Macaca fascicularis: one gene and its partners. The protein of the gene in region 5 interacts with the protein of the main gene of each other region in a pairwise test. Links are inferred from orthologs where the notes say so. Each region holds a gene or a part of one and is shown on either strand. Other genes may lie near its edges.

Region 1 (4,017 bases), on a different chromosome or scaffold from region 5:
ACTCTATGTTTGTACTACTCTAGTCACCTGGGATATAAACCAAAGCTCCCCCTTTGTAAAACTTACATTCTAATTGGAGGAGACAATATGAGAAAGCAAGAAATTACACAGTAAATATTAGGGGGTGATAAGTGTTAGGGAAAAAAAGTAGACGGAGGGGAATCAAGCATGCCAGGGGCTGTGATTTTAAAGTTAGGTTACAGAGGGCCTCATCGAGGAAGCGACATTTAAGCGAGATGAGTGAGGAGAAAGGAAGCCATGTGGGTACTGGGGAAAAGGGCAGTGCAGGCAGAGAGAACAGCTACGGCAATTGCCCTGGGGTGGGATCATTCTTGGGGTGCTGAAAGAAGCATGTGAAGGTCAGTGTGGCAGGAACACAGTGAATGAATAGTAAAATTAGCAGGAAGTGAAATCACAGGTAACTAGTTTTCTTGTTACCAACTCTAACAGGCTGAGACCTCATGGATCTGGTCATAATTGTATTTATGTATAACAGTATAGTCCTTCTAGATTTTAAGCCTTCAAGGAACTCTTCTGTCTTGTTCACTGCTGCATTCCCACTGCTAAGCACAGTGCCTGGCATACAGAAGATTCCCAATAAATGTCTGCATGAATGAACGATACAAAGATCATTTTTTGAATGCTTATTATGTGCTATACATGGGCTTTGCAACCACATTTCTTCAGCCCCAGCTCTGAGGAGGAGGGGAGATGAGTCCTTAAGTATCATTCTAGGCAGCCATGGGGAAAGGGAGAAGAGTGTTGGAAATGGTGGTATTTTTACACACTATCCTCATGGAATGGACTTACTCTGTGAGGAGAGAGCTCTTACGATCAATGAACTTGAGAGCTTCTGCCAGTGTCAACTCCAGGAAAAAACCATATCCCAGGGCCACATAGATGCGTGAAGTATCTGGGCTGAGGAAAGAGAGGTTAGAGGAAGTGCGGGGGAAGTCCTTATCACTGTTTAGCAGAGTGTATGTTTTGCTCCCCACCCTTCCCCAAATTGAGGCTCTGGGAAGGCAGGGATTTTGTCCTATTTTATTCACTGTCACATCCCCAGCGCCTAGCTTATATCCTACTGGGATAATAAACCTTGTATAGTGCCTGGTACATAGAAGATACTCAAAAAAATATATGTTGCATGAGGGAAGGGGTAAGCTGAACCCTGTGGGCTCAGAGGGGCGGGTAGACACTCACACCACTGTGTCAACGAAGAAGTTACAGCCCAAATCCACCTGCATGTATAACTCCGAGTGCTTAGCTTCCTGTGGGGCCAGGGAAAAAGAGGTAGGGGTCAGTGGTGAACTCTTAGGTCAGGTGACAGGTTTGGCTCTGGAGTCTCTCTTCCCATTTCCCTCCCTTACCCACACACACCAAAAAAATGATACCCAACCCCATAGTCTTTACCTGGAGTCGCTCAATGACATTTCTCAGTTGAAGGTATTTGGCCAGCTGCTCATATACCTTGTCTCGATGGTCCAGCACCTTTCTGATGGGATGAAAGTACAATGGTGACCAATAGGCAGCCCCATTCCTCCTAGTATACCTCATATCATGACCCTCTGAGACTCTCACGTCACCATACGCTGAAAAGGCTTTTTAGTGTACAAGTTAATTTTGGGCTCTGGGTCAGACTGCCTGGGTTTGGATCTGGGCTCTGTCCTTTATAGATGTGTGGCTTTGGCAAGTAAGGAACCTGTTTGGGACTTGGTTTCCCCATTTATAAAATGCAGATGACAGTATTACCTTGTAGAGTCATTAGGATTAAATGAGCATTTACTCAAAGCATCTAGAATAATGCCTACCAAATGGTAAACTCTCTACATGTTAGCTATTATTACTATTACTACACTCCCAATACTGAACTCCAATCATAATGTCCCATCCTCACCCTAGAAAAATCCTCCATCCCTTTTAGGATGCTCATAGTCCTAGTTCTGAACACCTTACTTCTTGCTTAGATTAACAAAAATTGCAATAATATTTCTTCATACTTAACCTCTACTATGTTTCAGGCATCCATGCTACTAAATTATTTACAAAGATGGGACATATGAAAAACTCAAAACCACTGTATGGGGAAGGTTCCAGAAAACTCCCCATTTCACAGAGAAGTTTATAGGGCACAGAAAGGCGAGGTATGACGTATTCACAAGGATGAAGAATGGCCGAGCCAGGATTCGAACCTGAGAACTGTGGCTCCAGAAAACAAGCCCTAATCCGTCAAACATCGGAGGCCGCGCATGCGCTGACACGCCCCCTGCTATGAACGCCACGTCCCAGCCAAACTGCACCCCGGATATCATCACCACTTCACGCTCCAAGGAGCGCGGGGCCGGACTCTGAACGCCTCGCCCACCAATCCAAAGGGTTGGCCCTAACTCTGAACGCCCCACCCACCACGTGGAATGTTCCAGACGCCCCGCCCTCTGCACTGTCACTCACCGCAAGTCCCGCTGCAGCACGTCACTGATGAAGGTCTCGTAGCGCAGTACTTTCTCCCCCGTGGCCTCCACCGCCCGCCGCTTAGGGGGCGTCGCCATGATGGGCTCCTGGGGAGTGGGGAGGGGGAAGACCACGTTGACCGCTCCAGTTTGGCCTCACACACAGTTCATCTCTACCCTCTCAACGCTGGGAATCGACTTGTCCGGCTCAAGCTGGGGGCTCAGCCTTCCGCCCCTCCCAACTCGGGGACCCGGCCACCCAGGGACACCGAAGCGCGGCCTTTACCTCAGGGCCGCCAGCAATAAAAACGGTTGGTAGGAACCGCGGCTTCCGGGTGGCGCGGGTGAATGACGTAAGTGGCAAGCGCGCTGGCCAACCAAATAGCCAGCTGGGGAAGACGGGCCAAAGGGGAGAAGAGAAGGGCGGGGCTTCACGGAATCCGAGGAGATCAAAGATGACTAGGGCGTGGGAGCAGGCCATCTGGCAATAAACCGGCCAATGGGGGACTGCAAAAGCGGCGCGTGGAGCCTATGGAGACCGTGCGTCGCTGGTGAGGGTGGGATTTAATGGGATTTGGCGGTTCTAAGTTAGGCGCGACGCACAGGTAGAGGTAGAGAGAGGAAGTGAAGAGTTTAATATTTAAAAGGACCTAAGAATTGACTATGGTTCTGGTCTATAAGGAAGATCCCGTGTGATCTGTCGGCTTGGATATTGATTTGTCATACGGGAGGTTTGGGTTTCACTCCTGGCAATGGGACTGAGTATGAGCACTTAAAAGGTTTTAAACAGAGACAGATTTTCTAAAATTCATCTTTGATAACTCCAGCTCTGTACCTGCAACCTATAACTGAGGCTCAAGCGGAAATTGACAACGCACTATATCTAATCACCTCGTTTGATAGTCAAATGGAGAGGGTGGCTGAAGTCCTCTGCAGAATATTGGCCATCTTGTAGTTAGGCATAGTTCCCATGTTTTTATTTAAATGGTAAGGTTTTTGTGAATTTATTCTTATGCACTAGAGTGACTGAGTGAATTTGTTTTTCAGTTTAGATTTTTTTTTTTTTAAATTATACTTTTAAGTTCCAGGGTACATGCACACAACGTGCAGGTTTGTTACATATGTATACATGTGCCATGTTGGTGTGCTGCACCCATTAACTCATTAGGTATATCTCCTAATGATATCCCTCCCCCCTCCCCCCTCCCCACAATAGGCCCCGATGTGTGATGTTACCCTTCCTGTGTCCAAGTGATCTCATTGTTCGGTTCCCACCTATGAGTGAGAACATGCAGTGTTTGGTTTTCTGTTCTTGTGATAGTTTGCTGAAAATGATGGTTTCCAGCTGCATCCATGTCCCTACAAAGGACACGAACTCATCCTTTTTTATGGCTGCATAGTATTCCATGGTGTATATGTGCCACATTTTCTTAATCCAGTCTATCACTGAAATGCCTTAAATTCAGGTTAGATTTTCAAACAAGAACTTATAACCCAGCAAGAATGGGCCTTTGCCTGGAGAAGAATCCAGACCATGGGATGAATCTCCAAATGCTATTTCCATCTATAG
Region 2 (2,291 bases), on a different chromosome or scaffold from region 5:
TGCCACCCAGGCTCGAGCGCAGCGGTATGATCTCAGCTCACTGCACTCTCCACCTCCCGGGTTCAAGCAATTTTCCCACCTTAGCCTCCTGAGTAGCTGGGATTACAGGCACGCCCCACCACATTCAGCTAATTTTGTATTTTTACCAGAGACGTTGTTTCTCCATGTCAGCCGGAGTGGTCTCAAACTCCTGACCTCAAGTGATCTGCCCGCCTTGGCCTCCCAAAGTGCCGGGATTACAGGCATGATCCACCACGCCCATCCTAACTACCCTTCTCTAACCTCCAAGCCAGGCCAGACCAGTGGCGTCCCTCATGTCTGTGGGCACCAGGCCTGGCACATGGGGTCCCGCCTATACCTCCTCCACTAACCATGAGCCTGCCACGTCCGCATCACGAGGGCCACCAAGATGGCCAGCCCAAGAAACCCCTCTTACTCTCCACCCTGCCACGTGACTCAAGTTCTACCCCTCCGGGTGCACAGGGGAACGGCACACAAGACACAGCTGGGTACAGGTTTATTGTGGCACTGGAGGTGAAAGGGGGCCGGTGTGGCCAGCACCGGTGTGCTGTGGTGGTGGAGGGAGTGGGGTGGGAGGATAAGGCGGGTGGGGCAGGGCTGGGGAACCCCAGGCTCGGGCCAGGAGCCGGGTTAAGGCAACCATTGCCAGCCCTACCCAGAAATGCCGGGCCATGGCTCTGGGGCCGCCGCGGCAGCTGTGGGCAGGAGGGGCTCACACGTGGGAGAAGGCATGGCTCTTGCAGAGGGGCCTGTCCTTCTTGGAGTAGAAGGTCTTTCCTTCCAGGTTGATCTGACATATCTAAGGACAGCAAAGACCCAGTCACATGGGGTTGGGGGCAGCAGTAGAGGCCCCTTCCCAGCTTCTCCTGCATCCCCCAGGCAATGAACAGAGGGCTGGTGGACTTGGGGCTGAGGCCAAGGCTCGGGGCTCTCACCGCACAGACGAAGCAGGTGTCATGCCAGCTGAAGCCCAGCGCCTCCAGGAAGCGGTCCCCAGCGTCGATCTTGAAGTCACAGCCATGGCATTTCGTGCCAAACATCTTCTCATAGTCTGAGGATGGGAGCAGAGAGGAAGGGGACCTGGATTCATGCCTGCCCCATGCACCATCCCTCCTCACCCTCATTGGCCAGCGGGTACCTCGCTCGCAGTAGGGCACGCCCTCCTCCATGTAGAAGGCCCTGTTCCGGATGGGCGTCTTGCAGGCGGCACAGGTGAAGCAGTGCACGTGCCAGGTCATCTTCAGGGCATGCATGATCTCCTGGAAGGAGCTGCCAGTCACTCGGCAGGCTCAGGCCCCTCCTGCCCTCCCCTGGGTCACGGGAACACAGGGCAGCTGGCCGCGGGCCCTGTTCCTTCTCATAGTAAACACTACATCTAACCGTTCAGGACTCCCATGCCTCCATCTCCAACTCCAAGATCTCTGAGTGGACGTCCACTGCGCCTTCAGACCTGCCATGTCCAGTACTCAGTTCCTGATCCCCTCGCCCCAAACCTCTCCTCCCACAGGCATCCCCGTAACACGGATGGCAACTCCATTCTCCCATTTGCTGCAGCCAAACACACCCTCCTCCCACACCCCACACCAGGTCCCCCAGGAAATCCAGTGGGGCCCACCCCCAAGGCATATCCAGATTCTGCGTGCTGCTCACAGCCTCCCTGATGTGAGGTGAGCCACAGCGATCTGGCCCCTGGGATCACACACAACTGGCCTACAGCTCCTCCCTCTGATCCCAGCTGCCGCAGCAGGCCCCTGCAACCCCTGCAACCCGAGACAGGCTGTATCCCCCTGCATGAAACCCCTTACCGCTTCCCATTTCTCCCAGCAAGAACCAAGCCCCATGCAGACGCTGGAGGCCAGCAGGTCTGACCTCGTTCCCACCTGTCTCCCCCACTGCTCTCCTTTGCGTTCTCACCTTGCCTTCGCACACTGGCCTCTTGCCTGAAATTGGCACACCCGGCACGCTCCTGTCCTGGGCTTGACACTGGCTGTCCCCTCTGCCTGGACTGCTCTGCCCCGGATATCTCAAGGCTCACCCCTCACCCCCTTCAAGTTTCCGCTCGAGTGCAGTCTTCTCCACGAGGTCCCACCCTGACCACACGAGTAGCAGCCAGCTGCCTTCCCTACACCACGCCCAAGCGCTTCTTGCTCTACTCTTTCCTGTTTTCCATAATGTGATCTAACATTACTTCCAGGCAGTCTACTTATTGCGCTTATTGCTTACTGTCTGCCTCTCCCCTCTTCTTCCAGCCAAAACGTAAGGCCCAGAAG
Region 3 (4,279 bases), about 8.5 Mb from region 5:
AAGTGACAGGAGGACAAGTGCAACCTGAGCCCCACTGGCAATCAAGGAGAAAAGGCAGAGAGAAGCAAAAATACACCACGCTCTAGTTTGCAATCCAAACACCCATTCCTTCAAGAGCATGCAAGATTCAGGAAGAAAGGTGGCAATGCCTTACAAAAACCCCATTCCCCAGGGTCCTGGGCCTCCCCAAAGATTTCTGAAACCAGCATCTTTTTCTGGCCTGCAGAAGCTCAAAAAATAGCACCATGAACAGAGAAAAATCAGATGGACCTTGGGGAATTGGTCAAGGCCTTTTTTTTGGAAAAACAACAACAACAACAACAACAACAGAAAAAAACAGTATTAAAATGAGATTGTATTCTTTCTGTACATTTCATCCGAAAATTTTGCAGCCTTGAGTGTATGGAAAGGTGATAATGCCAGCTAAAAGAAGGTGTCGACTTATGTGAACTGATGTTCCCAAACTGTCAAAGTGATTCAACAGGATGAGTGAGGGTAAGAATGGTGGGAGCAGATTCACAGCGATTGATATTTATTTGTGGAATGGCAAGAAGAGAAGGGCATCAGGCACACCCTCTAGAACAAGTTCCGGAGCAGAGGTGGACAGGGTTCTGACAGTGTGGCAGAGTAGAAGTAGCTAGTTAGGGGTATGTAAGGGGAGTGAGGTACATGAGAAGGGACAGTGCAGAGCACAGCTGTTCCATCTGAAGGACAAGAGAGCTGAGGGCCAATGGAGGAGCTCCCAGGTCAAAATCAAATCTTACTCCTCTTCTCAGCCCCACTGTCCCCTGCACCATCCCAGATATCAGTTTCTTTGAAGAATCTACGAAAAGCTGAAATAAAATGACTGGGGCAAGTGAAGAGCTGCTCAAGATTAAAAAGCTGGAGTAGGACAAGTGGGGAGACAAGATTTCTGTTAGGGGGACTATGCACTGAAACAGGAGCCTGACACTGAAATGTGTCTCTACCTGGTACTAAGGTCTGAAATGCTGAAAGGCATTTGGAAGGTATGTGGAATGAAGGGCAGCACAAAGAGAAAGGACAGGGACAGATGTGTTTGGGAAGGTGAAATGGTTCCTGCTTCCAGGTGTGTGTGTGTGAAAGGCTGGCTGTTCTTTTCCATCCTCATCTCCAGTCATAGAGCCCATTTGAGAGATGAAGTATGTGTGAGTTTGGAGGTGGGAATGGGGATCCTGAGTGTGTACCTGGGGTCCCAGTGAGATAACTGAGGTCGGGGGCGGGCAGGGGAAGAGCCAGAAATCCCTGACAGTTCTTAGGCTCTGGTTCCTGCTGAAGGAGGTAAAGTGTGAGAGGGGTATCGTGGTCTTGGTCTTTAGTTCTAAGAGACAGAGAGGAATAGGGACAGCAGTGAGGGGGAGGGGAAAGGGGATACTTGCCTAAGTGCTCAGAATGTACAAAACAAGTTTGAAGACAGGTCCCTAAAGCTGTGTCAGGAGAGGAGAATTAAGACTCTATTTGAGAAGCTAAAAAAAATGATTAGAGGAGTTGAGGACTGAAGCAGTCAAAAAGGAGAGGAAGGGTGACGGGGTGGTCTGTTTCCCATGGCTGGTCTTGGTTCTGAGAGTGAGAGAACAGTGACAGTGAGGGGCACGCATGGAGGCAGGCCCAGTTGTCCCAGCAAGCAGATGTCTAGGATGATGTGGATGTGGGGGTGAGGGTCACAGGGAAGAGACAGCAAAGACAGAAGAATGCTAGAGCAAAGAATTAGTGAGGTGGGTTGGGCCCAGCGGTCCTGGAACTCGGTGGGGATGACAACAACGTCCCTAGGTGTAAGAGGTGGAGCCTGGGGATGGGAGTGGAGGGGGCTGGCCCTATGGGGACAGCTATGAGGAGAAAATCTTATATGACTCTCACATCCAGGCTGTATGTGTATACGATTCTAGGGGGGACTGTTTCCTAGAGCTTGAGCTGGGGATGGCAGTAGCGAGTGGACTACGCTGGGCCCTTCAGTAAAGCGTGAAAGGCATGTGAACTCTCTGGGCCCATGCTAAGGGGTGAAAAAAGGGCCGTGGCCTGGGGCTGAGTAGGTCAAAGCTCACTCCCGTACCTGTGCTTGGATCCAGATGTTTGGTGGAGGCTCTAGTGTGGTATGAGGGGGGAACTGAGTCAGTCCCCTCACCCCGAGGCTGGGTGGGAAGGAATTCAGAGGAGATTAGGTGGGTGAGGAGTGCTCTGGGGAGCTAAACTCGTCTGGATTCTTTTCCATTCTATGGAATGCTAGGTCCACACAGTCCTGGCCTGAGAGGCTGCCAGGCTGTGTTGAAGCGAGTTTCTGCCCTTGAGTTTACAAATCATGTTGTGCCAGCTGTGCTGTGAGGGACTCTGGGCTGGGTTGGAGCAGGTGAGCAACCTCCGACCCGCAGGTTTTACCAACGCTGTCATGTGCCCCAGGCCCTGCATTGGGAAAGGCGGGGAAATCGGGCGCTCTGGACCAGGCCTCCGGGCCTCTGAGTTTGGACAGAAGACAGTTCCCTCCTCCACCCTGGCCGGCTCCGTGGCGTACCTGGTCACCGACACCCAAGCCGTAGTAGCCGTGTGTCACCATTTCCCAATGCAAGAAGCAGACGAGCGCGTCCTGCGTGCAGGTGATGGCCGGCGCTGCCGATGCGAACAGTACCTCCAGGCCCGCCATGAGCGCCAGCGACTTCGGCGTCTGGAGGAGAGAAGGGGGAGGGGGTAGTGCAGTGAGCCAGCTCCGCGGCCGACGTAGCTATAACTCCGCTTCACTCCTGCGCTAGCTCTGGCAGAGTCTACACCTGAGACCAAGATGGAGACGCCCGGGGGCGGGGCGGGGCGGGGCCGCCGGAAGTAGCCCCAGGAGCGGGCGCAACTGCGTGAGGCGCGCCGGGCTGGCAACGCGAGCGCAGAAGTAAAAGGTTCCGCCAGGGACCGCGCGGGGCGAGGCCCCTCAAAGCCGGAACCTGGGTCTTCGCCGCGGCCGACAGGATCGCTTCACGCAAGCACAGCGCCCTCCAAGAGGCCACCTTGCTGAAAGCTAGACTTCCCATGCACAAAATGGGTTATGCTAGGCCGGGGAAGGGGCTGGGAAATGTGGCTAAAATACATTCTTAATAATCGTTAATACGTACGCAGTGCTTACTACCGGCCACATTATTCTAAATGCTTTACTTGTATTCATTTATTTAATCTTCACAACCCAACTCTATGCAGTTGATATTAACGATTAATGTGCCTCATTGCACAGATGAGGAAACTGAGGCACAGAGGGCTAATTTGACCAAGGTGACAACAGCCAGCCGGTGAATGACTGAGATGGTTACAGGAACCTAGCAGTCTGGCTTCTAAGATAACATTTATTAAGTGTTTATTGTGTGCTACATCCTGTACTAAAACCTTTACATCACCTTCTCAACAACTCTATGATGTACCATTATTATCCCCATTTTGCAGATGACAAAACGGCTGAGAGTTGAAACCATTTTTCCAAGAAGACACAACTGCTGCCCGCAGAGCTGAAGCTCCTGACCCATTACCAAATTTCAATCATTTGTTTGACTACCCCCTTTATGATTTTTACCACCCATTACGTCAACAAGTTTCATGAAATCCACTTATTGTTTTTACCCAAATAAATTTAGTTTCCCCATCCCAGTCACCAACCTGGTCCAAGCTCCTGTCATCTTTCAGTTGGACGCCTGGCATCAGCCTCGGAACTGCCCCATTCCATTCCTGTCTCTCTCTGTACTGCACTTCGCAACCAGAGAGATTCTGTTAGAAAACAGGTCAGATCCGCCGGGTGTGGCGGCTCACGCCTGTAATCCCATCACGTTGGGAGGCCGAGGCAGGTGGATCACTTGAGGTCAGGAGTTTGAGACCAGCCTGGCCAACATGGTGAAACCCTGTCTCTACTAAAAATACAAAAATTAGCTGGGCGTGGTGGCGCACGCCTTTAGTCCCAGGTACTCAGGAGGCTGAGGCGTGAGAATCGATGGAACCCGGGAGGTGCAGGTTGCGATGAGCCAAGATCTCACCATTGCACTTCAGCCTGGGCAACAGAGCGATACTCCGTCTCAAAAAAGAAACAAAAACAAAAAAGAAAACAAGTCAGATCACATCCCTCGGCTCAAAATCTCACAGGGTTCCCATCACGCTCAATGGAAAAGTAAAGTCCTCCCCGTGGTCTGCAGGAACCTGCATGTGGTCTGCCACCTCCTGCCCCAGCCCTGCCAGTCCTGTACCTCTCTGATTCAATCTCCTTCAACTGTCCTCCCATCCCCTTTATACCTGCAATGACCTT
Region 4 (3,985 bases), on a different chromosome or scaffold from region 5:
TACACTTATACCTCTTTCAAAGAATAAGGTAGTTACTTTTCTTACTATGACTTGTACATAAGAGCAATGATCTTATTCTCACATTAGACTGAATTATACCTGAGGGGACAGCTACATATTATTCATTTATGTAACATTTATAGATTCAAAGGTAGTAACTACACATGTGAAATGTCAAGAGGTTAATTAGTCTATTGAAGCAAATTTCTTGAATCTTCAACAAATATTGAAGTCCTTTCTTGTGATACACTGTATTAGATACCAAGGACTAAAATATGAGTTTCCTTCTAATTGCCACATATCTTTTTTTCTTCCAGTGACCATAGGTGTATGGGAAAGGGAGATGCATTTGTAACAGTTAAGCTCTGAAAGTGACATAGTCTTGTTTATCTAGTATAGAAAAATAGTTGCTCCTTCAGATACACTCTCTTCCCCACTGCATGTACACTGAAGCTGGAAATGCCAAGCATAAGCAAGTCTTGACTAGGTCTAAGGCTATAACATTTACAATTTTATATATGGGTAGTGATTAAGAAGTATATTCTTAGCCACAATGTAGCCTCTAATAAATATCTGCCACTAATGCATTTGTTTATATCTAAAAATAGTAAATAAATGGACAAATCCAACCTATCAAGAAGGGTTTTTTAAAAACAGCCAATTTTCTTACTAGGAAACTGCAATTAGTTACTTGATATTAGACTATTTTTCATTTCAGAATTTAAGTCTAATACCTGATGTACTCTTATGATAAGAAATCATATTAATGCTGTAGTAGACAAAATTAATGTTTTGGCTACGTGCTGAAAATAAAAAAGGTCAAGTTTGTGAGTATCAGCCAAAAGGTAACAATTCCATCTCCAAAACACACTGAGCAAAATTACAAAAGTGTAGCTTCAAACATACCTTCATTTTAGACAGGAATCTGTCCAGTAAATTCACAGCTAGAGAAAATGTCTCTGTGTCGAAGCCAAAGAACTGAGTTAGACTAAGAAGATCTTTTACTTCAAAGTCCCTTAGTCTTGCAGTCATTCTGAGGCCATTATCATGTGCAGACTCAATTAGTCTCAAGCCACAGACCTTTGGCTGACATCTAGACTCCTGTTCCAACAGGGCATTCAGCTGGTGTAGCAGTTTCTGAGAGTCAGTTGTTGTCAGTACCTCTATCATCTATATATAGAAAAAAAGACCAGAAAGGAGTGTAAGTAGTCCTTCCTGCTTTCCTTGGCCATCTTTGCACTGGGCCAAGAAATGATTTATAAGTCTCCCATCCCCCAATGCGGCTAGTGCATCTAAGTCATTGCAAAGTGCCATCTGTTATTTATTTCCCTTCTACAAGTTGGTCACATCCTAAATGTGTGTTTTTTTTTTTTTTGGAGACGGAGTCTCGCTCTGTTGCCAGGCTGGAGTGCAGTGGCACGATCTTGGCTCACTGCAACCTCCGACTCCCCGGTTCAAGCAATTCTCCTGCCTCAGCCTCCCAAGTAGCTGGGATTACAGGGGTGCGCCACCACGCCCAGCTAATTTTTATATTTTTAGTAGAGATGGGGTTTCATCCTGTTGGCCAGGATGGTCTCGATCTCCTGGTCTCGTGATCCGCCCGCCTCCGCCTTCCAAAGTGCTGGGATTACAGGCGTGAGCCAGCGCGCCCGGCCGGAAACATGCTTTTTAGAAAAATAAAATGCAAATCTTCAAGAAATACTTGTTCAACTTATACCTTGTCAATAGATAACCACGAATAATCACCGTAAGACAGGATACCGAAAGTGAAAAGCAGATGGTAGTTAAGTATTCTGCCACATTTTAACAACATGAACGGTTCAAGTTACCTAATTGTACTTAGTTCCTCATTTATAAAGTAGTGATAAGGTTTATGACCTACCTCACAGATTTGTGTGACCTAAATGAAATCACGTAAAGAGCTTAGCACATATAGTAGGTGCCTAAAAAACACTGAACAATAATGAGCTTGAGCTTATTTCTAGATTTATAAAATGAGGGTAACAATATCTGTCGCTGAATGTGAAGAGACTGAACAAGATTCACCACTTATAGAGTATAGCACAGTTCTTGGCATACAATACTCAATATTAGTCAACTTTTATTGTTGTTAGGAAAGGAAACTTAAAAGGTGGCATTAAGAGCACGCACTGGGGCGGGGGGCGGTGGGTGTTGCTAACCTAGTCTGAAAGGTGAACCTGGGAATTCCATTGATTTAAGTGTGCATAACACAACCATGTCCCGGGCACAAGCTAAGCCCTAGATACACGGAAGGTCCCTCCCCACACCAACCTAAAGACAGGAAGGCGGAGATCTTCAGAGTTGGTCATGTGAGGAACCTCTAACTGCAGGGGTTCCATTCTTCCTCCCCTGGCTACTCCCTGGGACTGGGCCGGCAGACACTAAGGCACCCCAGGAGGCCGGATCCGGCTCCGCCCCTCCAGCCCCGGACTAGCCTGGGCTTGTGCTCACAGCAGCGGTAGAGTTAACTGCGGAAAAGGGCGCGGGCCAGACCTACTCCTCGCTCCACGTCCCCAACCCCGCTCCCCACCCGCACCTGGCGGTCAACCCCCGCGCAGTCCCACTCACCTTGACAGCGACTGCAGCTCCTCAGCGGTAACCACCCTCCCCGGGCCTGCTCCCCTCACCCCACGATATTAGATCCAAGAGGCCTACGAGGAGAGGTGACTCGTAGGCAAGAGGAGAGAGGCCCGGGGAGGGGGCGCTGTCCTGGGTGGAGGTCTCGGCAGCGCAGCCGAGACGACTTGGCCCTGATCAGGGTCAGCTCGGAGCCGAAGGGGCCGCGCCTGCCCTGCAGAGGAATATATTGGAGGGCGGGGCTTTCTCGCGAGAAGGGGGCATTTTCAACTCTGATTGGTGTAATTCTTTTGATGGATGGCCTCCGCTATCCGTAAAAGGCTGGGCCGTGGAGTGAGACGCCCGGCCAATCAGCTCACACTTCCCGTTATCTGGCGTCAAATTCCCCGGCCCTCTTCCACGCCCCTACCTCTAAGCGTCTCTCATTGGAGAATTTAACAAAGTGTCTTCATTCAGTAGGGGGCCGAACTAAATACTCTATGCACCAACCCTTGCCTGGGTCAGGTCAATCGGCTGCCAGCCGGATTGGCCAGCGTATCATTCCAGAATGTACTGTTTGTTCTGTGGGGTTTAGGAGTTCTACAGTGGTTCTGCCCCATCTTTCTAAAAATACAGTGAGTAGTTAAAAAAAAAAAAAAGTCAACCTTTGATTTTTTTCATTACAGATAAAGAGGTAGTGGAATTTATATAGTGCGGTGGTTTATCAACTTCCAGAGTGCCCTCTTCGTGAACTTTGAAAGTTAGTTGATTCTTGCCTTAGTTTGCTTTTTGTACAATTTATCAAATAATGGAGTTGGACTGTGTAATTTCTTGACCCTCTAGCAATTTTCTGAATTTGCTTTTAAAGCAAATTTAAAGAGAAAAGTTGGTACAATTTTTCAATTGCTTAAAATGAAAGGTGGGTGGCAGACTGTTATCAGGAATAATTGTGGTGAGTGTGAATCCCAGTCTACAGAACAGAATGTAAAGCAATATTACTCTTTTTATTTACTGTAAATAATTTAATCTCTATGAACCTCTCCTATGCCAGGTTAGTGGGAAAATAATTAGCCTGAACTCTTCTTAGACTCTCCTCACTCTCGCTCTCCCAGATCATCACAAGTGAGAAAAGTCCATTAGTAAAAGGGCCTGAAAAAGGGTGCACAAGGAGTCAGTTCTAAACTCTTATGAATTACACAGTAATTGGATGTCTCTGTTCTCATGGCCCCAGTTCAGTCTCTCTTACTTTGACAAAGTGAAAATCTGGAAGATTTGCTGTCACCTCTGCTGTTTGCCCTGCCATGTACTTACCTAAGGCAATGCCACAGAACAAAACTCTGGAAAGGGGGAAAAGGGGTGGGGAGGAAGGGGAAGGAAAAACAAAAGAAAACATTAATACCTCACAATA
Region 5 (3,500 bases):
TTGGGTCCATGTTTTTTACTGTTACAGAGCGAAGTTACAGGTAAGTAACGAAATGGCTAGAATGAACTATGTGGTACTTGATCAGATTCAGAGACATTAATATGGATTTATGCTTAGGTTAATATAGATGCAGATGGACAGATATAATTATAGGTGTGTGAGTGTATTCATGAGTTAGTCTACAAACATATTATTTCGGAGCTCTGTTTGCTGAGGCCTGGCAGTGATACCCAGTAGCAATGAGTATTCCCGGAACCAAATCTTAATTTCTAATACTGTTGGGGTTCCTTGGAGAAATGCCTGATTTGGGGGGAAGGGCAGGGAAAATAAAAGATAAACCTGGAGCTTCTTGTAGTGACAGAAAGTCAGGAAGTGCTCGAAAAATAAAAGGAAGAGGGATTGTGAAAGGGACACAGCAGGCAGCCTGAGAGAACTCTCAGTGACAGAAGCTGGAACCACTTGAGCAGCAAGGCAAATAACATAGTTTTGGCTTATAACCCAAAGTATAAAATAAATAACCATGAGTCCATCCATCCTTATAGATAAATAGATAATTGAATAAGTAGGTAAATGGGAGCAAATAAGCAAGTCTGTGCAGAATAATTCCAACTACTTTATATAGATACCCCGCAACATACACACACACACCCCAGAAGACAGAGCTTAAATCCCTGCCCTTTGAGTAGAGGCTACACTTATTGACTTGTTCCCAAATAATACAATATATGGAAAGCTAGGGGAGGGGAGTGGGACAGTGTGTATAAGAAACCTGGCAAATACGACCTCACCCAGGTAGTCAGGGCTAACATCATCATTACTAAGTCATGTCGATGTTATGTACCCTGAACATCATGTGATGAAATGTGACTTTACTCTCTGGTCTTCCTCTTCAAACCAAATAACCTCTGTTTAAACATGGGAAAAACACAAGAAAACCCCAACTGAGGAACATTCTGCAAAATACCTGACCAGTACTCCTCAAAACTGTCAAGGTCATCAAAAAATAAGGAAAATCTGAGACACTGTCAGAGATCAGAGGAAACTCGGAAGACAACAAATAAATGTAACGAGATATCCTGGATAGAACTCTGGAACGCTAGAAGAAAATTAATGAAATCTATAGGAACATGGAGTTTCCTTAATAGCAATGCAAGATATTAACAGAAGGGGAAACTGGATGAGAAGTCTATGAGAACTCTGTATTCTCTTTGCAACTTCTCTGTTAATCTAAAACTATTCTAGAACAAAAAATGTATTTGAAAGAAAAGGGTATAGAACAAAAGCATTAGTCCAGGACTCTGAGAGAAAAAAAAATAAAGCCTCTGTTTCACCATGGATAGATTTATAAAACATCAGCTCCAGGAAAACTTTGACTTCCTCCTCCAGTTTGAAGTCTTCTATTGTACCATCCAAGATGGTTTTGAACTCCTTGCTAGTTGCTCAAAGGTATTTTTCTCCTAAAATCCTGGAAGTCTGAAGTCACAACACTTTGTTCTTTGTTCTTTTATCCACCCCCATCATATTTTCCTGCGAATCCTGTCATTGTCAAGGAACAGCTGACGGTTTTGTAAGTGGTTTGCGATGTCTTTCAGTTCCTGGTATTCTTGTGTTATTTAGGTTCATTAAAGGGAACAATTTGTCACTAAGATCCAGGTGCAACCATCATTACTAAGCCACCCAAAATTCAGCGATGATGTTACGCAGAAGTGTGGCCAGAGCAAACAAGCTGTATAGTATAAGTATATATACTTAATAAGAATATCACATTTCATCATAAATCACACAAATAATCTTCAGGCTGTTTCCTAATTACAGTTTCAAGAAGTGCCTTCCTCATCTATAAAATTTCATAACCTCAGTTATTATGTGTCTTCCATATAAGGGTAAAAAATGTACACCCATTTCTAGTTATGTTAATACTTGGGCGACAATGCCTTCTGGTTTTGAAAATCATCTGAATAATGAATGTAAAACAGTAATAAATATTATTTTTTATTACCAAACAGTTATAGAGTGTTAAATTGTAATTATCAGCTCATCTATAGATGGTTGGGGCTTATTATTTAGGTAGAAGAAGCAGGGGGAAGGGATTTGCCTGTAAACTGGTAAATGAAACAGTGAGAGCCTATGTAGTCTCGTACATGGCTTTTTGGTGGTTAATTGATGTCTCTATTGAGATAGGTAGGAAGAAAATTGCAATTTGAGATTATTGTCTACTATTTCATTTATTTCACCACTACAGTTAATCAACGATTTTTTCTTTGTCATTTTGTATTAAGTGTTCCTGGGGTCTTTTTCCTTCTGTAGTTTAATTTGGATGGAGTGGGGGTGGGATGCCGCCGTCAACTTAAAGTCATGAAATATTTTCCTCAAACAGTATTCCTTTTATTATCCCCAGACAATCGTTAGAGGAAACAAACCCTGCAAGGAAACCTCCATCAACGGCCTGCTAGAGGATTTTGACAACATCTCGGTGACTCGTTCCAACTCCCTAAGGAAAGAAAGCCCACCCACCCCAGATCAGGGAGCCTCCAGCCACGGTCCAGGCCACGCGGAAGAAAATGGCTTCATCACCTTCTCCCAGTATTCCAGCGAATCCGATACTACTGCTGACTACACCACCGAAAAGTACAGGGAGAAGAGTCTCTATGGAGACGATCTGGATCCGTATTATAGAGGCAGCCATGCAGCCAAACAAAATGGGCACGTAATGAAAATGAAGCACGGGGAGGCCTACTATTCTGAGATGAAGCCTTTGAAATCCGATTTCGCCAGATTTTCTGCTGATTATCACTCACATTTGGACTCACTGAGCAAACCAAGTGAATATAGTGACCTCAAGTGGGAGTATCAGAGAGCCTCGAGTAGCTCCCCTCTGGATTATTCATTCCAATTCACACCTTCTAGAACTGCAGGGACCAGCGGGTGCTCCAAGGAGAGCTTGGCATACAGTGAAAGTGAATGGGGACCCAGCCTGGATGACTATGACAGGAGGCCGAAGTCTTCGTACCTGAATCAGACGAGCCCCCAGCCCGCCATGCGGCAGAGGTCCAGGTCAGGCTCGGGGCTCCAGGAACCGATGATGCCATTTGGAGCAAGTGCATTTAAAACCCATCCCCAAGGACACTCCTACAACTCCTACACCTACCCTCGCTTGTCCGAGCCCACAATGTGCATTCCAAAGGTAACGTTTGCTACCTCCTTTCCCTGAAGTGTACAAAAACCTCCACAAGGGTGGTGCTGGGATGATCTTTTTATACGATCAGATTGCCAACTACTTGTTTGCCTTTTAAGGGAAAATTAATATCAAAACCCACCCTGTCTCCACTTTTGAGGCCCCAGGGCAGAAGATTTAGGATAAGGCATATATATTCATTAAAATCAAAACCTATCTTTTGGGCCCTCCTACCTGGTTTCTCATTAAAAGGCAAATAAACTTATTTATTTGAAAGATATTCTGATATATGAGTGATAAATATGATGTGACTGTATTTCACTAA
Region 6 (3,577 bases), on a different chromosome or scaffold from region 5:
ATCATTGGATTTTCCTCTCCAAATCCACTCTTCTCCAGTCTTTCCCAGATCAGTTTATGGCAATTTCATCCAACCAGCTGTTAATGCCAGAAATGTAGGAGTCATGCTTGATGCCTCTTTTCCTGCCCACATCCATGCATCAGCAAGACTTGATTTTAGCTCCAAAGCATACCCCAAAGTGACCCCCCTTCAGTGCACCTGCCCTGCCCAGGCCTAGGCCCTCCCCTTCGTTGCCTGGATGACGGCAGGGGCTTCCACTCTTATTGCAGAATCCTTTTCTGAAAGCAGCTGGGATTATCTAAACAAGAGCTAGCCCAGGTCATTCCTGCTCAGAGGCCCCCATTGCTCCTCATCACACCAAGAACAAAACCCACATTCTGCTCTAAGGCCGTTAGAGTCTGGTTTTGCTGACCTTTTCCCTTCTGCCGCCACCACCAATCACAGACACCTGGGCCTTCTTTATGTTTGGCCCTGTCCAGCTCCTGTCCCTCGGGGTCTTTTCCCTGGCTGCTCCTTCTGCCTAGAATGCCCCTCCTCTTGATTGCATCCTGATGTCACCTCCTCTGAGATTGCCCTTCCCCAGGCTAGCCCATGGCCCTCCTTCCCTGGTATTTTCCTGTAGCTGGTATGTCCAGTCTGTCTGCAGCTACACTACTCTTGAGCCTAGCCTGTTTGATAGAGCAACCTCAGGAGACAGGCTCACCCCAGCACCCACCCTCAGTCTGCACCTGGTACCGGCAGAGGGCATGCCGATGGTCGCGTGTCGCCGCTGGACTCGCGACTAGCCGAGCACTCCCCACTAGAGGGCAGTCCCGTCTAGCTCAGTTGGAACGCGGCTGAGGCCCCGCCAGTGCGCTGCCACAAAGTCCCACCCTCTCTGAGTCCTCAGGCCGAACCCCACTTCCATCCTGTTCAGGGAGTGCCGAGGCCAGCCTCAGGAATGGGTCCCGTGGGTCAGGCCCCGAGTGGGCCACAACCTCTCTGGGTCCGACCATACGGGGCGCTCTGCCTATGTGCGGGCGCAGCATGACGCCCCGTGAGAGGGACCGCTATTTCACCATTGAAGAAATGGGGAGGATGAGGCCCCCGCACGGAGGCGACCTGTCCTGCGTCACGCAGCAAATGCAGGGTCCACTCAACCATCTGGGGGCTTGGGTATCCCGGGCCCGACCCCGTCCGGCTTCCAGCTACGACCCCGCCCTTCCCCACAAGAACGGCGGCGGAGTCCGGAGGGACGCCGGGTTTTAGCCCCTCCCCCTTTGGCCGTGGGGCCGGGGCGGGGCGCGGCTGCCAGATGTCGGGGCGGCGGCGGCGGGAGCTACGGAGAGCGAGGAGCCGCGCAGCCAGGCGGAGGCTGAGGGCGCCGCTGGCCGGCCCGCCCAGCCCTCTCCGCGCGGCTCCGCCGGGGTTCCCAGAGGAGCCAGTAGGCTCAGTTGGGGCCCCGGCACGGACATGCACAGCGCTCGGCTTGACAGCTTCCTCAGCCAGCTCCGCTGGGAACTGGTGAGGCTCGGGAGCGGGTGCGGTTAGGGAGGACGCGTGCGGGGTGCCAGGCTGCTGCCCGGCCGGAACAGCAGACGGGTGCGGGGTGGCTGCAGCGTGCCCGTCCGAGGCGGGATGGGGGCGGCGCGGGGTGGGGGCGGCGCGGCTCATATGGCTCAGATGGTCCGCGTCGGATTTCGGAGGGTTGGGAACTGCGCTGAGCATCAGATAACAGCATCCAGCTGGCCGTGCTGCTGGAACGGCGCGGGAGGAGAGAGTGGAAGGGGAACTTCTTTGGGGGTGGGGCATGGGGCGGCAAGGGACTAACGAGGTGCTAGCACTGCTGTGAACGCCCCCTACTTCAGGCTGGCCTATGCCTCCCTTCTCCACCCCTCACCTAGCAAGCGCTCTTTCTGTGAAAAACGCTTTGGGCTTTGGAAGCTGAATCCCCCTCCAGTCCTGGGCAGGACCTACTTCCCTGCTCAGGCCCACAACACTGCCTGCCCGCCCGCCCGCCCTGGTGGCGGGTGTCGACTTGCCCAGCCCTGCGTGCTGCAGCCTGCCGGACTGCCACCAGGTCGGTGAATGAGAACCACACCAGCTTCGAGTGCCAGCACCCCACGCCTGCCCTGTGCTCACTAGCACCCTGCTGCCCAGGCCAGCAGGCCTATCTAACCCTCCTGGACCCTCTGTACTCTGGGCTGACCTGGTGACAAGTGATACCTCTCTGACTTCTGCCCTCTCTTCCCCTCAGTTGTGTGGTCGGGACACAGGCTCACCCCCAATGCCTGGTCCCCTGCAGCCAACCCCCCAAACTGGCCCAGATGTGCAGCCCCGCCACCAGCTTAGGGCCTCAGGTGCCTTGGAAGAAGACTCAGTCTGCTGTGTGGAGGAGGAGGAAGAAGAGGCAGTGGTGACAGAAGACAGGGGTGCAGCCTTGGGAGGCCCCAGGGAGCATGCCCTGGACTGGGACTCTGGCTTCTCGGAGGTGTCAGGCAGCACATGGCGAGAGGAAGAACTACCTGTTCCCCAGCGCCCAGCACCCTCAGCACAGCCCCTTCGTAGGCAGCGCCTCTCAGTCAGTGGCCTCCCCATGCCCAGCAGGGCCCCTGTAGCCAGTGTACCACCTGTCCACCGTCCACGGCCCAAGTCCACCCCAGACGCCTGCCTGGAGCACTGGCAGGGACTGGAAGCAGAGGACTGGACAGCAGCCCTACTGAATAGGGGTCGCAGTCGCCAGCCCCTGGTACTGGGGGACAATTGCTTTGCTGACTTGGTGCACAACTGGATGGAGCTGCCTGAGACAGGGAGTGAAGGAGGTGATGGAGGTGGGCACCGTGCCCATGCTCGGCCCCCCCAGTTCCTGCTTGGCCTCTCCGAGCAGCTTCGGCGCCGGCTGGCCAGGGCTCGGCGGACAGCTATGGCAGGAAAGCGGCTGTCATGCCCACCTCGCCCAGAACCTGAAATGCCTGCGGATGTCTCACGCTTCGCAGCCCTCATGAGCTGCCGTAGTCGCCAGCCCATCATCTGCAATGATGTCAGCTACCTCTGACCCTGCCCTCCAGCCTGGGACAATAAAAGCCTTTTTTCTAGACTGTCCTGGCTTCATACCCCTGAGGCACTAAGAGGCAGCCCCAGCCCTGTGAGGCACTGCCCAGGCAGACAAATCTGAAGAGCTTTTTGTCTCTGTGTGAAGGTCCCTGTCATGCCCATGTCACACCTGTGTGCATTAGTGCACTGTGTTCTATCATCCATCCTCTCCACTATGCCTTCCTTCAACAAGCATTTATTGAGTGCCTACTGTGGGCTTACAATGCAGTGCTTGGGATCCAGGGCTCCATTGAGCTAGGTGATGGGGTGGCTGCCTTGTCACAGCTCATAGTGCAGAGGTGGAAAGGCAGTGTCTTCCTCTTCACCCTCACAGCTCAGCTCCAGCACCAACACCCGCAGCCCAGGAGCAAGTACCTGGCCTGTCACCTGCTGAACCAGTTCTGTCACCCTAGTGGGGGTGGGGTTTAGGGGAGATTGGAGAGGTGAGCAGTGGCAGGCAGTGGGCAGCCTGGCATGGACTAGAGAGGGTGCTGGCAGGCCATCA
Region 7 (4,282 bases), on a different chromosome or scaffold from region 5:
GCTCAGGAGCATGTGGTCAGGCCAGTTGGGATGTGGGGGGAGGCCATAGGAGTCCCCAGGCCCCACCTTCCAGGCACGGAGTGGGCGGAGCTCAGCCCACCCAGCGTGGCTTGGCCCCCAGGAGCTGCGTCGCCCTGCCTGCCCTCCTACCCGGAGGCGTCGGGCCTCGCCCTGGCGGAGGTCCTTGCGCAGGGAGAAGATGGTGTTGGCCTGCTCCTGGTGGTCCCGCAGTGCCTGCCGCCAGTCCTCTTCCAGTACCTGGATGTAGGGGCTGCTCCTGTCCAGCTTCCCCTCCTGAAGGGGGCAAAAGGCAATGGCCTGGCTGGGAAGGCCCCGGCTGTCCTGCCCGGGCTGCACCCGCCCTGCCTGCGGCCCCACCTGGACGGAGGCCTCCAGCTCCTGCACCCGGGCCTGGAGCAGGGCCTTCTGCTGCTGCAGCTCCCACAGCAGCTCCTGGCTGGGCCTCTGCTCCATGGCGTGCCTCAGCTTCAGCGTGTGCTTGCGCTCCACCTTGCAGTCGTCCTCGGCCTTCATGAGGCTGTGCTTGAGCCGGTCAATCTGCGGAAGGTCCGGTGAGCCCGGCTGTCCCCTCCAGGTGGTGACAACGGACCCACGGGGCCACCCCCGACCGCCCCAGCCTGCAGACCCCACCAGGCCAGGCAAGGGGGGCCTGGTTCCCCGGGGGCAGTGGGCGCACCTCCAGCTGCAGGTCACGGTTCCGCATGAGCGCGGCACCCTTCTCCTCGCTCTGGCGTGCCAGGCGCATGGCCAGGTCGTAGTTCTCCTCCTTGCAGCGCTTGAGCTCACGGCTGCCGGCCTCGCACTCCTCCTTGAGCCTCTGCACCCGCTCCTGGTGCTTGCGCAGCAGGCTGTCCTTCACCCGCAGCTCCTTGATGAAGTCATCCTTGGAGCTCAGCAGCGCGGTCAGGTCCTGCACCTTCTTCTGCAGCTTCATGACCTCGGTCATCAGCAGCTGAGTCAGGCCTGACTCCCCGGACGCGTCTGTGGGCCGCGCCAGCGTTAGACGGTGCCTGTGTTCCCCGGTGGCCCAGCTCTATCACGCCCTGCGCTGTGGCAGGAGCTCAGGGCTCCTAGGGATGGGGCCTGGGCAGAGGACCCAGCACCACTGCCCGCCCCCACCACCGCCTTCCCCGTCACTCACCGATGATCATGGAGAAGACACGGGCCGGCTCCTTGCCCGTGACCTTCTTGTACAGCTGTGGGTAATAGAGTTCCAGGCTCTCGAGGAAGGCCACGTAGCCCTTGTGGCCGGTCCGCTGCAGGATGTCCAAGAGCACGCCTGCGGGCCAGAGGGGCCTAACTGGGGGCGGGGCACAGGCGAGGCAGAGGGCTGGGGTGGGTGGGCCCGGGGGCAGGGACAGATGGAGGCTGGGATGTAGATGAGGTGTGCTGTGGTTTGGGTCGTGGATGAGGCACCCTGTGGGTCTTGGTACTAGGCTGGGGACAAAGTGCTGTCCACCCATCCCTTGGCTGTCTCAGGAGCCCCCGTTGTGGTGGGAGTCCCACTGCCCCTCTTGGCAGCACCGAGCTGGCAGGAGAGGCTGGGGGATAGGGTGGCCATGTGCCAGGGTTGAGGTTGGGCCTCACTGGGACGCCAGGGGCAAAGCCAGGCGGGGCTCTCCTGGGGTCGAGGGTCAGGGTGGCAGAGCGTGCAGCCACCTCCAAGCGGGCTCCTTGGTTGGGTTTGGGGCCTGGGGCCTGCGGGGCAGCACTGACCCACTTTCCGTTTGCGGATGACCAAGTTGGGGTCACTGAGCACCTGCTCCTCATCGTCGGGGTTCAGGACCTTGCACTGCCGCAGGTAGGGCGTGATGCGCGAGGGGTCGATGACCGACGTGAGCATCACCCGGAAGCCCTCCAGGACGCTCCAGCACTCATCGTCGTTCTCGTAGTCCGACATGGCCTCGCAGGCAGGCTGGGGGGTGTGGGGCAGCCGCTGAGAGTGACGCCGGCTCCTGCCCCCACCCAGGCCCGGCTCCCGCTCCTTCTCAGACGCTGGGCCTGGGCTCTCGTCAGGGCTGTCGAGGGGGTCAGCCCAGGGGCATCCAGGAGAGGTACCCGGCTCCATGTCCCATCCCCATGCTGGATCCCCCAGGGAGGCGGCAGAGACAGTGACCCGCTCCCCGCCAGACCAGCCGAGGGCCCCTCCACAGCCTTTCCCAGCCCCTGCTCCTGCCCCTTGGCCATCCGTGTCACCCAGATATGCAGCGGGGGAGACACAGATGGGGTCTGAGAGAGGAACGGCCTCCACGGCATGACTCGCCTCTGGCCTCCGCCTCCTGGACACTCCCACCACGCCCTGGAGCCTACAGGGGCAGCCACCTCCACGGGTGGGCAGCTGTGGGCACCTGCCTGGCACTACGGCCAGCCCAAGCTGGGTGAGAGCAGGTTGGCCAATGACCCTCCCACTAGGGCAGCAGCTGGGGGAGCCGGTTCTGGCGGAACTTCCCCATTCCCCTGACCGACGCCTGCTCACATCCCGCGCTGTGCCCTCCCTCCTCCATGGCCGGCTGTTGATGATGCAAGAGTGGCCACCCAGCCCTGCCCCAGCTGCCAGGGTCGCTGCACCGGCCGGGAAGAGCTGCCCACAGGAGCGTGCCTCTGTCACTCCCCGCCGGCCCCGCAAGCTGGGAGGGGCTGTCGGTGTTGCCCTTGGCTGGCCAGGAGTGCTGCTGTGCTGTTTTCTCCAGGTTCTTAGGTGACGGGCACCCGTCAATCTCTGGACTCTTCTCCTGCCCCCGATGAGGCCCGACCCCCATCCCACTGGCTGAAACAAGAGAACTACCCATGTTGGGACCAGCCACTGCTGTCCCTTTCTGCCAGCGCGGTGGAAGCCTCAGCCGCTGAAAGCCACTCCCTCTGGGACTGGGGCAAGGCTGGGAACAGCCACATGGTCCTGCCTCCCACGCAGGTCCCCGGTCCTCAGCCTCCAGCCCCACTGGGAAATGCTGGTTTCCTGCCTAAAGGAGCTGGGTCACTACTCCTGGAGACACTTGGTCTTTTGAAGTGTTTGGTCTTGGTCTTTTGAAGAATTTCTCAACTTCCCACTGTACTTTGTCACCCCATTCAGGACAGTTTTGACAGACAAGGGGCTGAATAGAAACACCGGCCACACAGCGGACAGTCCTGGGAACACTGGGCCCCTTTCCTGCCTCCCCAGCCTGAAATGCAGGGTCCCATCTGCCACCGTAATGCCACTGAAATGAACATGTCTCCGCCCAGTGGCCATGAAAGGGATGGGGCAGCGCGGCGGAGGCTGCCTGGCTGCCTGTGGGAAGCCTCATGCTGCTCTGCGGGGATCAGCGCCAGGATTCTGAACGAAGCCGGCGCCGACCTTCTTGGTCACTTTTCAGAAAAGTACCAGACCCACCCACCTGAGGGTCTTCCAAGGAGCCACCTGCACGGCAGACGCACCAGGAGCCTGGGACGTGGAGCCTCGGGGAGATGCTGCCTGGGGCTGCAGGGAGGGAGGAGCGTGCCGGACGCCTGTGCACTTCCTGATGGCTTAACTCCACAGTCCCGCCAGTCCTCCCACAGGGGGACAGTCCCTGGTGGCCTGCCTTCTGATTCGTGCAGCCCAGGAGGCCCCGAGAGGCAGACGGAAGTGGAAGTCCTCTGCCCTCCACGGGAAAACTGCTCTCAGCCCTCCCAGCCTGGCCGGGGGCCAGGGGTCCTGAGAATGCCCCAGAGGCCCAGCCCGGGCACCTGGCAAGTAGAAGAGACAGCAGAGACCCCCAGGAGGCTGGACGAGGCCAGACCGCACCCAGCCGCTTTGACCTGGTCATAGGTTTCTGGAGGCTTCTTCAGGAGGGCATGCTCTGCCCTGTGCGGACACCCTTGCCCTCGCCGGCATCTCAGGACAGCGGGGCAGGGCATGTGCAGGGGGGCACACAGCCACACAGCATGCCCAGCACACGCCTTGGTCATGAAAGGGCTGCAGCCCACCTTATGGAGCCCAGGAGGCCACTGCAGCCTGCCAGGGGCCATGGCACCGGCCACCACCCAGCTGCACACGGGGGAGAAGCGTCCCTTTCAGAAGTGTCGCTCGGTATCATTATCCTTGTCACGAGGCATCCTTGCTCTTCTCCAGGATGCACGTGAGGACCGAGGCCACTCCCAGGGTCCCCCAAACCAGCTTCAGAAGCACCGGTGATGGCAGGGCACAGCCCGCCCCCCATCCACAGACGACGGGCAGCAGAGTCTGCCCTGAACTGTGCACTTCGGCGTGGGGGCTGCTGGAGCCTCATCCCTGCAGGCTGGG

What was found.
Region 1: the proteins of PAK5 (region 5) and UXT interact in binary tests that used the Homo sapiens proteins (3 or more experiments, as listed by UniProt). The two-hybrid records come from large-scale screens. The link is inferred for Macaca fascicularis from reciprocal best matches to the Homo sapiens genes PAK5 and UXT.
Region 2: the proteins of PAK5 (region 5) and PDLIM7 interact in a two-hybrid assay, tested with the Homo sapiens proteins (2 studies listed by BioGRID and IntAct). The two-hybrid records come from large-scale screens. The link is inferred for Macaca fascicularis from reciprocal best matches to the Homo sapiens genes PAK5 and PDLIM7.
Region 3: the proteins of PAK5 (region 5) and PSMF1 interact in binary tests that used the Homo sapiens proteins (3 or more experiments, as listed by UniProt). The two-hybrid records come from large-scale screens. The link is inferred for Macaca fascicularis from reciprocal best matches to the Homo sapiens genes PAK5 and PSMF1.
Region 4: the proteins of PAK5 (region 5) and CCNG1 interact in binary tests that used the Homo sapiens proteins (3 or more experiments, as listed by UniProt). The two-hybrid records come from large-scale screens. The link is inferred for Macaca fascicularis from reciprocal best matches to the Homo sapiens genes PAK5 and CCNG1.
Region 6: the proteins of PAK5 (region 5) and INKA1 interact in binary tests that used the Homo sapiens proteins (3 or more experiments, as listed by UniProt). The two-hybrid records come from large-scale screens. The link is inferred for Macaca fascicularis from reciprocal best matches to the Homo sapiens genes PAK5 and INKA1.
Region 7: the proteins of PAK5 (region 5) and CARD9 interact in binary tests that used the Homo sapiens proteins (3 or more experiments, as listed by UniProt). The two-hybrid records come from large-scale screens. The link is inferred for Macaca fascicularis from reciprocal best matches to the Homo sapiens genes PAK5 and CARD9.

The regions. Positions count from the first base shown.
Region 1 is NC_088395.1:47,757,226-47,761,242, forward strand, and holds the start of UXT (protein UXT), read right to left. Parts: upstream 2,801-4,017; 5' UTR 2,759-2,800; coding exon of another isoform or gene 2,547-2,758; coding exon 2,449-2,546; exon of another isoform or gene 2,440-2,448; intron 1,493-2,439; coding exon 1,411-1,492; intron 1,269-1,410; coding exon 1,201-1,268; intron 919-1,200; coding exon 811-918; intron 577-810; exon of another isoform or gene 439-576; intron 1-438. Other genes in the region: uncharacterized protein, read left to right, coding at 2,545-2,758. UniProt on the Homo sapiens protein: Involved in gene transcription regulation. Acts in concert with the corepressor URI1 to regulate androgen receptor AR-mediated transcription. Together with URI1, associates with chromatin to the NKX3-1 promoter region.
Region 2 is NC_088380.1:184,426,789-184,429,079, forward strand, and holds the end of PDLIM7 (PDZ and LIM domain protein 7), read right to left. Parts: intron 1,281-2,291; coding exon 1,160-1,280; intron 1,073-1,159; coding exon 957-1,072; intron 821-956; coding exon 734-820; 3' UTR 501-733; downstream 1-500. UniProt on the Homo sapiens protein: May function as a scaffold on which the coordinated assembly of proteins can occur. May play a role as an adapter that, via its PDZ domain, localizes LIM-binding proteins to actin filaments of both skeletal muscle and nonmuscle tissues.
Region 3 is NC_088384.1:86,264,136-86,268,414, forward strand, and holds the start of PSMF1 (proteasome inhibitor PI31 subunit), read right to left. Parts: upstream 2,801-4,279; 5' UTR 2,654-2,800; coding exon 2,525-2,653; intron 1-2,524. UniProt on the Homo sapiens protein: Plays an important role in control of proteasome function. Inhibits the hydrolysis of protein and peptide substrates by the 20S proteasome. Also inhibits the activation of the proteasome by the proteasome regulatory proteins PA700 and PA28.
Region 4 is NC_088380.1:170,164,212-170,168,196, reverse strand, and holds the start of CCNG1 (cyclin-G1), read right to left. Parts: upstream 2,801-3,985; 5' UTR 2,590-2,800; intron 1,171-2,589; coding exon 907-1,170; intron 1-906. UniProt on the Homo sapiens protein: May play a role in growth regulation. Is associated with G2/M phase arrest in response to DNA damage. May be an intermediate by which p53 mediates its role as an inhibitor of cellular proliferation.
Region 5 is NC_088384.1:77,744,157-77,747,656, forward strand, and holds part of PAK5 (serine/threonine-protein kinase PAK 5), read left to right. Parts: intron 1-2,398; coding exon 2,399-3,184; intron 3,185-3,500.
Region 6 is NC_088376.1:112,833,676-112,837,252, forward strand, and holds INKA1 (PAK4-inhibitor INKA1), read left to right. Parts: upstream 1-1,322; 5' UTR 1,323-1,452; coding exon 1,453-1,503; intron 1,504-1,847; exon of another isoform or gene 1,848-2,236; coding exon 2,237-3,034; 3' UTR 3,035-3,077; downstream 3,078-3,577. Other genes in the region: UBA7 (ubiquitin-like modifier-activating enzyme 7), read right to left, coding at 3,352-3,481. UniProt on the Homo sapiens protein: Inhibitor of the serine/threonine-protein kinase PAK4. Acts by binding PAK4 in a substrate-like manner, inhibiting the protein kinase activity.
Region 7 is NC_088389.1:2,997,756-3,002,037, reverse strand, and holds the start of CARD9 (caspase recruitment domain-containing protein 9), read right to left. Parts: upstream 2,801-4,282; 5' UTR 2,090-2,800; coding exon 1,738-2,089; intron 1,301-1,737; coding exon 1,163-1,300; intron 1,003-1,162; coding exon 698-1,002; intron 559-697; coding exon 379-558; intron 295-378; coding exon 151-294; intron 1-150. UniProt on the Homo sapiens protein: Adapter protein that plays a key role in innate immune response against fungi by forming signaling complexes downstream of C-type lectin receptors.